Neurospora crassa OR74A: one gene and its partner. The protein of the gene in region 1 interacts with the protein of each later gene in a pairwise test. Links are inferred from orthologs where the notes say so. Each region holds a gene or a part of one and is shown on either strand. Other genes may lie near its edges.

Region 1 (4,167 bases):
GAAGTGTTGAAACGCAACAAGTTCATTTGACTCACTTGGGTACTCATTTACTCACTTACTCACTTACTCACTCACTATTATGCTGCTGTTAGTCTATCATCAACGCAGGGCGAAGAGTCCCGGGGTCAGTGGATATGGGAAAACGTAGGTAGAGATACGTATAGCGTGCAGGCAAAGTCACCATGGATGGGAAGAAGAGGGCCTGACAAGAGATGGAAAGTCGGATCCTGGCTACGGGTATAGTTGTAAAGCAAGCTTTTAAAACCGAGTGTCTCTTCAATCCTTGAAGCGGTTGATACCTGCGATTACTGATTGAATTGGGGTGCTTCAACACAACAAATCCTCAACTCTGATATGGCTGGCTATACTATCCGTGATATGGGACAAGGGGCATTTACCGACCGTCGATTGGACTTCTCATAAATATACTGCTGTCAAGACCCTGGAGAGTGGGTTATCCACAGCAGTCTGATCGTGGCCTTTGGATCAGCCGGCAGGATGTCCAAAATCTCAATGTTTACAGATCCAGTTAGACTATCAAACTCTACTAGCATAACCAAGTCCGTCACTTTGAGAGACTTCATCAAGCGCGAGTAACTATCGAGGACGTCTAGAGCTGGCTAAGGGCTTGAAGTCTGGTGAGCATTTGTTTTTTATGCATGGGTGTGCCTGTACGTGTGGTTCTTCTTGGTGTAAATGTGCCGGTCATCTCTCTGAAGCGAAAGGTTTCCTCTATGTGTGAGAGAGCTGTAGCATGGAAAGATCAGTGGGTTTGCCTCAAAACACAAAAATAGCAAAAACTGTAGTCTAGCTCCTTAAAAAAAAAACCAAAAGTAACAAATGTGTTTAAAAAAAAAAAAAAAACCGTGCCGCGTCCTCAGTTATGCCCAAGACCGAAAATACACACACGCAACACACACACCCCCAACATCATCAAGGGTCGTGGAAGCTCTCTAAGAAGCCCGCCGCCCATCCCATGTCTCAGCCAGCCACTCTTTCCCCCCTTGCCCTTTGCCAGGAATCGTGACGGACACTGGTGATGAGCCAACTATTAAGCTCCCTTTTCCGGTGCGTTCGATCACCATCCTCTTAGGCCCCACCCTAACCTGTCCCGGCAAGCGAAGAAGAGCCCGCGGAACCGTGTGATGAATTCCCAAGGTAGCATGTAAAGCCGCCCCAAGTCTCCTCCCATGTTCCTCGCAAAACCACAGAAGCAGAGCCGAAACATTCCCAACTGAGATCCCATTAGAGCAGCATTTGCATCACAGCTCAACCCAGTGCCCACGCCGTAACATTCAATCGCATCATCATGTCGTCAAACACCGTCCGATGCGAAACCGTAACGCCAAGAGCGCAACCAATGCCGCAAGGCACAGACGCTTTAGCAGCAGCCGCCGGAAGAGTTGTTGGAGACGCCGTGGCCGGGGGAGACGTTGACGCTGGCTTTCGTGTTGTTGGTGGCGATGGAGCTGCCCATGCGCTCCTTGATCTGGCGGGCCATGGTAAGGAAAGCCTGCTCGACGTTGCTAGCGTTCTTGGCGGAGGTCTCGAGGAAGGGAATGCCCAGGCTGTCGGCGAACTCCTGTTGGTTGATGTGTAAGTATGTGGCTTAGACACGAGGGTTAGGGGTGGCTGTGTACCTTGGCGACTGTGTACTCAACAACCTTCTTGTCGGTCATATCGCTCTTGTTGCCGACGAGGAGCTTGTTGACGCCCTCGGTGGCGTAACGGTCAATCTCCTGAAGCCATTGCTTCACGTTGTTGAAAGAGTCCATATCCGTGACATCGTAGACAACGCAGATGCCGTGGGCGCCACGGTAGTAGGAAGAGGTGATGGTACGGAAACGTTCTTGGCCAGCGGTATCCCACTGAATAAGCGACTGGGTCAGCGAATTTGGATTTCCAAAGTGTCCAGGAGTGCCGGGGGGTTGCTTACGATCTGGAGCTTCACGGTCTTGCCATCAAGCTCGATAGTGCGAATTTTCTAGCCAAACGGTCAGCATGTTGATGGGGGTCGAACGCATGTGTTGCGCAGGCAGGATAGCAGGACGTACAAAGTCGACACCGATGGTGGAGATATAGGACTCGGTGTAGGTATCGTCGGCAAAACGAAGGAGCAAGCAAGACTTTCCGACACCGGAGTCACCGATGAGGAGGAGCTTGAAGAGGTAGTCGTATCTGGTTGCATCGTCAGCAGGGTTCTTTGGGGGTGGTGGCGGCGGTGATCGGTCGAGTCGCGAAAGGGAAGGGGACGACGTCGGGTGAAGAGGGGAAGCGGTGGGCACCCTGAAGGTTAAACATGTTAGCAATCCGTCATGGAAACAACATGGGATACGGGCGGCGGCGATGATTGTAGGTGGCGGCAGCGTGGCGGCGGCTTACGGTGATTTGGGAAGAGCAGGAGAAGGGCAACAGGAGACGTGATTAAACCTACTACTCAGGGTTCATGATGGGCAACGAGGGACGCGCTATGCGATGTGGTGGTGTTGGGTTGAGTTGGACAGCGAAGAAATAAGGCGGGTATCGTAAGGTGGACGGTGGTGGAGCGAAAGATGGATGGTTTCGCTGAATGAGATTAGGTGTAGGTCGTTGGGGGTGGGAGGTCGGTCTGTTGGTTGATTGATGATGTGGAGGATTGTAGAAGTCTAGTGTAGGTGGGCGGATGGAAAGGCAGCAACAGCACGCAGCATAGAACCTGGAACGGGCAACACGCAGAGCAACTTAACACGGGCAGTTGATGGAATGGGAGAGCGCCCTCGGCTGTCCTGGCTGACTGCTGGCAGCGAGTGGCAGTGGCAGCCCACCCACACCACCCGCACACTCTCCGGGCGGGGGGGTGATTGGCGACCGCCGGCCAAGAGGCGGGACACTGATCCATCCAAAACAGGGGACTCAAGCGGTGACGATGCACGTGACGCAGCAGCCGCCTCCTGACCCTTTCCCACTTCAGTTGCGGTATGTACGGTATTGCACTAACAATCTTGGAGTCGTCCCGATGATGTGCATTTCACAGCTAAACAAGTCCCAAAAGAAAAAAAGACAAAAAAAAACAATGATGATGAAATGTGGTTGAGATTCCAGGTTATTCTCTGTCCAAGAGACGACAACAAAGTACGGCTACGGAACTTTTTTGTTTTGGTATACCTCGAAAGTGCTTTGGCCGTTGTTCCCATGGCTACCTTTATTATCGTGGACTTGGAGGCTGGGCCACCTGAGCGGTGTCCACATGGGCTTCCATTGAATGAATGAATGTATCAATGAATGAATGAATGAATGGATCAATGAATGAATGAATGATTCCCTTTTTTTTGGATTTGGGAGCAACATTGATTCACGGGTCCAACGGACTCCTGATCTTAGGAAGCTTCTAGCTTCAGTTAGGTTCCATCATCCAGCACATTTACATATGTATGCCGATAAGATAAGGCTCATGTGAAACAAGTGTACGAACGAAATGAGACCTCAAGGTTCTGGATATTTGACCACAACCAAAATTACGATGAAGCATATGTCGTTTCATTGTATGCAACTAGGTTGCTCTCAAAGCCTCCTGACCTACACAATGTCCATGGATAGAGTGTTGATGATCAAGATCCAACCCCACAAAACATCACTATTGGAATCCCTGTCCGTGGGGAGATCCGGTGAGCAAGTGGAAGCCGATCCACCCGATTACCGACCCTCTTATCAGCTCTGTGGTCAACCATCCGAGCCAATCCGTCACTGACATCATTCCACCCGCTGTGCGGCACTCTTCGTCAGAGAGACAAGTCAACCACTTGGCGTTTTCACACTCTTGCAAATTGCATTCAACCCGGCCTTATCTTGCATCGATCCCAGCCCTATACACACCCCATAGTATACATACTTACACTGTCCATCTCAGCGCGGCGTGTTCCGACAGCCCACGTTGCGAGTCCACTCGTGTCGGCCCAGGTACCCGACCACCAAAGTGTTTAAAAACACCCACTGCACCATGTCGGCGCCCACGAGGATACGAATAGCTGCTGGTGGTGTGGTGGGCAAGCAACAGCCATCCCAATGCCGATCCTACTTTCTCTCAAACCAGCCTCCAACACATTCGCAACCGACCTCATCACAGCCGCCGCCGCCAACCAAATCATCAACAACAAAAGTTAGTGGCGCATCATCGTCACCCGCATCCGT
Region 2 (3,969 bases), on another chromosome or scaffold:
GGAAAGGAAAGACAGAGGAGGATTGACCAGTTATATCAAGTTACGTTCGAGGAGAAGGTTGTCCAGGGTTTGAGCCACACTGGACATTCGGCTAAATGGCAATCGGCGTTAGAGCGTGGGGGATAGTTATGGTGTTATCGATTCCGAGAAAGCTACATGTTTGTAATGATTCTTTTTCTTCATGTTGTCTGTACCTGACTAGGTAATCATGAGACCTGAAATTCCGACTGTAATTATTCATGGACAGCGTGGATGGAAGTAACAACGGAACATCGACACGCCATTGTGTAACTCGAACATCGTGAACTTGGGTTTGAGGCGTCCAGAAATACGGCACTCGGGGCTTCTGTCTTTTCGTGTTTAGTCAGTACTCGATGGCATTCGGCGTTTCGTTAAGATATCAGACAGTACTTCGAAGGTGGGATATCGACAACCTCGCCAAAGATAGCCCCAGCAACAAACATCCGGTCAATGGAACGGATGGCATCCTCTCACCTTACCCCGCGAAACTTGGCTGAATCTAACAAGGGCCTCGGCGGAACGATTGCCCCTCTGTCGGAATGAGACCTTGCTGTGGTGTCGGTCCGCTCTACTATAGATAGTGGTAACAGTGAGTGGCCGAGTGGATCCGTCGTGTTCGCTTGCTCTGGGTTTCTTTCTGGGGCTCGAGCGGAGAGCATTAGTTCCAGGTACCGAAGCTGAGTGGAACTGAAATGATTACAGTTGCAGGAACTGGGGGCGTGGAGTGCTTAGTCTAAACCTGTTCCTCTATTGGTGGCATTTAGCGTAAGCGAATTCCGTCGGTTAAGTATTTGTTGACCTTAGATGAACCGAGAGCGAACTTTGAGTCTTGATCCCTATGCTGAAGCCAACTTCCTCGGCAAGTAGGTATAAATAATCAAATGCCCCCACCGACCATCCAGAGGTATACCTGAGCTCTATCAGCCTTGCAAGAGGTTATGTTGTGGAACAGTGAAAGGACATGGAAGAGCGCATGCAAAAAAAGAACCGCATCTTCATGAGGAAGAGAAATTGTATAATTAATGCATAAAGTCTACAAGAGACGCCTCTGCATGCATTATAAAGAAGAAGTATAATATTACTGAAACGCCGCCACAACTGCCGTCTACCCGGCAATTAATACCCAGAGAAGGAAGAAAATCATCTACAAAGTCGCACAGCGTTAGAGTTTTATGCAGGGCATAGGTAACAGAGCAGGAATACTGGGCTTACCAAAACACCAAACATCTTGGCTAAGAGCCATCTATTACTTGAAACACGGCTCCAATATTTGAGCAGTTCTTTTTGCGCGCCTTCGACGTTCTCTACCACGTCCTCTCTGCATGGTGTGTTAGTACAGTGCTGGTGTGTCGAGCGTCTCGAGACAAACCTACGTGTTGGCATCAATTCTTTGTATCATCTCAGATTGTTCGCTGACCATGGCCGCGAGCTGCCCAAAAATGGAACCCAGCTCATTGATAGTCGACTCGATGGCCTCGATCGCTTGCCCTCGTTGTTGGACGTAGGTGTTTTGGCCTTCCTCCAACATCTGGAGCTGCATCTGCTGATCTCCCATCGGGTTCAGCGAGATCAGATCTTGCTGCCCTGGTGCTGGCGTTCCCCTACTAGGCGTGCCGTACAGAGGTGACGCAGATTGTTGCAAGGAAGCATGTGCGTGCTGACCTACTGACGAGACAAAGTTCTCGGTCCTCGACCGCGACGCCTGAATGTTCTTGGTTCTGATTTCGAGCACGTCCTTGAAATTAGCACCAACATCTCCCAGCTTGCCCTGTAGGAGCAGGAGAATGTTTTTGTTGTTCTCCCCTTCTTGGTCGGGCTTCGGGTGCAGACGTCTAGAGAGATCTTGCAGGTTCCTGATCTTCTCGTTCAACGAAGACAGGTCTTGCTTGATGACAAAGGTCAACTAACATAATGGTTAGCCAGCCAGTTATGGAGTCGAGGCGCGCAAAGATCAAGCGCATGACCCAGCTTACCTCGTTGATTTCGACCGGCCTGTCATCGAAAAGAGTCTTCTTCTTGGCCAGCTGTGCTAGCTTTTCCAGCTTGGCCATTGTCGCAGAGATACCCCTTCCAATCTCTGCAGCCCCCCTCGCAAACTCAGACCTTCTGGGCTGGGCATCGCTGCTGGCAGCATGTTGTTGAGCGGTGTCCAGAAGTCGCTGCTTTCCTGGCTTTGTGGCCTGCCTACGCTGGGCAGCCGCAACAATCTGTCGGAACTCTTCCGTTCGGTCGTTGATGGCAAAGACAGCCATAATTAGAGGTGTATCGGTATATGCTGAGGCGGTAGTCCGTCCGTTTCCAACAGCTAATCGCGGGGAATGGGTCGTAGAGGGGCGCGTGTACCCCTGAGCAACCGGCACGCGGTTAAGTCGTAATCAATAACACGTCGGAGTTCGTAAGTCAGGAATCGAGACGTCGTCAACTTTGTCAATCGTGACCGGGGGCGAATGCGACTCGTAGGCTGCGAGTTTGCGGAGGAGATTATGGATTGGCAAAGTGGAAATGGGCGGATCCGGGGGATGCGGCGGGAGCGAGGCTAATTCGCGACTGGCGAGGAGGTCGGCGGCTGGTCGTGGGTGTGTTGATTGAAGGTCGTATTTATGAAAGGCGCTACACGATGGACTCGCGATGACGTATGAATGAGTGGCGGTGTTATAAGTTCGTCGTCGTGGTCGTGGTCGTCGCCGTCGTCGAGTCAAATGGTTGGTGTCGTGGTCGTCGAGGTTGAACAAGCTCCTCCGTTGTTGTCATCAGCGACGGGAGTTCGATAAAGGGAAAACGTGGTTACTTTACTTACATAGTTTCAGGAGGGCCCGTGACGCTGCAGTGTGTGGCTCGGCCCCTGCAGTTGAGTAAGAAAAGCTCACAGTGCAAAAATCCAAAGCTGACTGACCAAGACACTGTTGTTAAGCATTCAGTTAAGCTAGACTCGCTAGTAGTACATTTGATTGGACATCAGCCCAGTCTTTTTAAAGAATCAACTTCCCGATCAACCTTGAAGTCGATAACACCTCGGCACTGCAACTCAATGTTCTTTCACATTGTATTTTTTTGCCACTCTTTGGAATAGTATGGTTGCCCCCACACTCAGACCCAAAAGCCCAAGAATGGGAGATGAATTTCTGGTTATCCGAGCCAAAGGTGTGAGATGTGACTAGAGGTATGTCATTTTTACATGATGGGGTCACGTCTGTCAGAATGGGAAGACGCTTCGTTGAATGCCCCTGGCCTCTGGGTTACTGCGTTTCTGACCCACTGCGGCCCATGGATTTGGGGTACTACCTCTAGTACATGAATGAACGTCAGGCCGGGCGCTTGGAGCTGAGCGGTACCAGAAACTCAAGGCCTGTCACTGCAGCGCCAGCAAGGGTGGAACGCCATTAGCATCGATCGAGGCGCAACCAAAGTAGGTAGCTAAGAATTACCTCTAAGTAGATACTCTAAAAACGGATGAAATCCGGGGTATCATTTCTAGAGCCATTGTGACTGCCTTTGAACTAGGGCTTCACAAAACCAAACAACTTGCAGCACTTCTAATTCTCATTCAAATGGGATTTTCCCCCCTTTCCTGGCGAGTTATGTGGTTTGCTGAGGCCTGAATGCCCCGTAGAAGCGTCGCCGTGAAGGCCTCTCTCTCCAGATACCTATACTTGACTAAAGAATTGAATGCAAATTATCAGTACTTTCCCCTTGTGTAGTGAGTTCGTAAACCTAAAAGAAGCTTCCCTTCGGCTTCACCTCACCTACCTCTACCCAAGAGGTCTACGAATACCTTACATATTCCGAAAATGTAGAGCCACAGGTTTCTCTAACTGCATCCGCGGCCGAGTGCGGTGGCATTCAGTTAGTGCCTTACAGAGTGGAGAGTCTAATAGCCTGTCTCATTAAAGCTCGCCCCACGTCCGCCTGACGTTCCAATGCTGCCCTGGGCTGCTGATCCCTGCCGCG

What was found.
Region 2: the proteins of ypt-1 (region 1) and NCU01907 interact in binary tests that used the Saccharomyces cerevisiae proteins (3 or more experiments, as listed by UniProt). The link is inferred for Neurospora crassa OR74A from reciprocal best matches to the Saccharomyces cerevisiae genes YPT1 and SED5.

The regions. Positions count from the first base shown.
Region 1 is NC_026502.1:3,521,419-3,525,585, forward strand, and holds ypt-1 (small GTP-binding protein), read right to left. Parts: upstream 2,722-4,167; 5' UTR 2,449-2,721; coding exon 2,438-2,448; intron 2,179-2,437; coding exon 2,055-2,178; intron 1,985-2,054; coding exon 1,937-1,984; intron 1,869-1,936; coding exon 1,641-1,868; intron 1,583-1,640; coding exon 1,382-1,582; 3' UTR 501-1,381; downstream 1-500. Other genes in the region: NCU08476 (hypothetical protein), read left to right, coding at 3,977-4,167. UniProt on the Saccharomyces cerevisiae protein: The small GTPases Rab are key regulators of intracellular membrane trafficking, from the formation of transport vesicles to their fusion with membranes.
Region 2 is NC_026501.1:2,073,954-2,077,922, reverse strand, and holds NCU01907 (syntaxin 5), read right to left. Parts: upstream 2,805-3,969; 5' UTR 2,274-2,804; coding exon 1,995-2,273; intron 1,925-1,994; coding exon 1,395-1,924; intron 1,340-1,394; coding exon 1,234-1,339; intron 1,166-1,233; coding exon 1,127-1,165; 3' UTR 496-1,126; intron 351-495; 3' UTR 88-350; downstream 1-87. UniProt on the Saccharomyces cerevisiae protein: Required for vesicular transport between the endoplasmic reticulum and the Golgi complex. Acts as a target organelle soluble NSF attachment protein receptor (t-SNARE).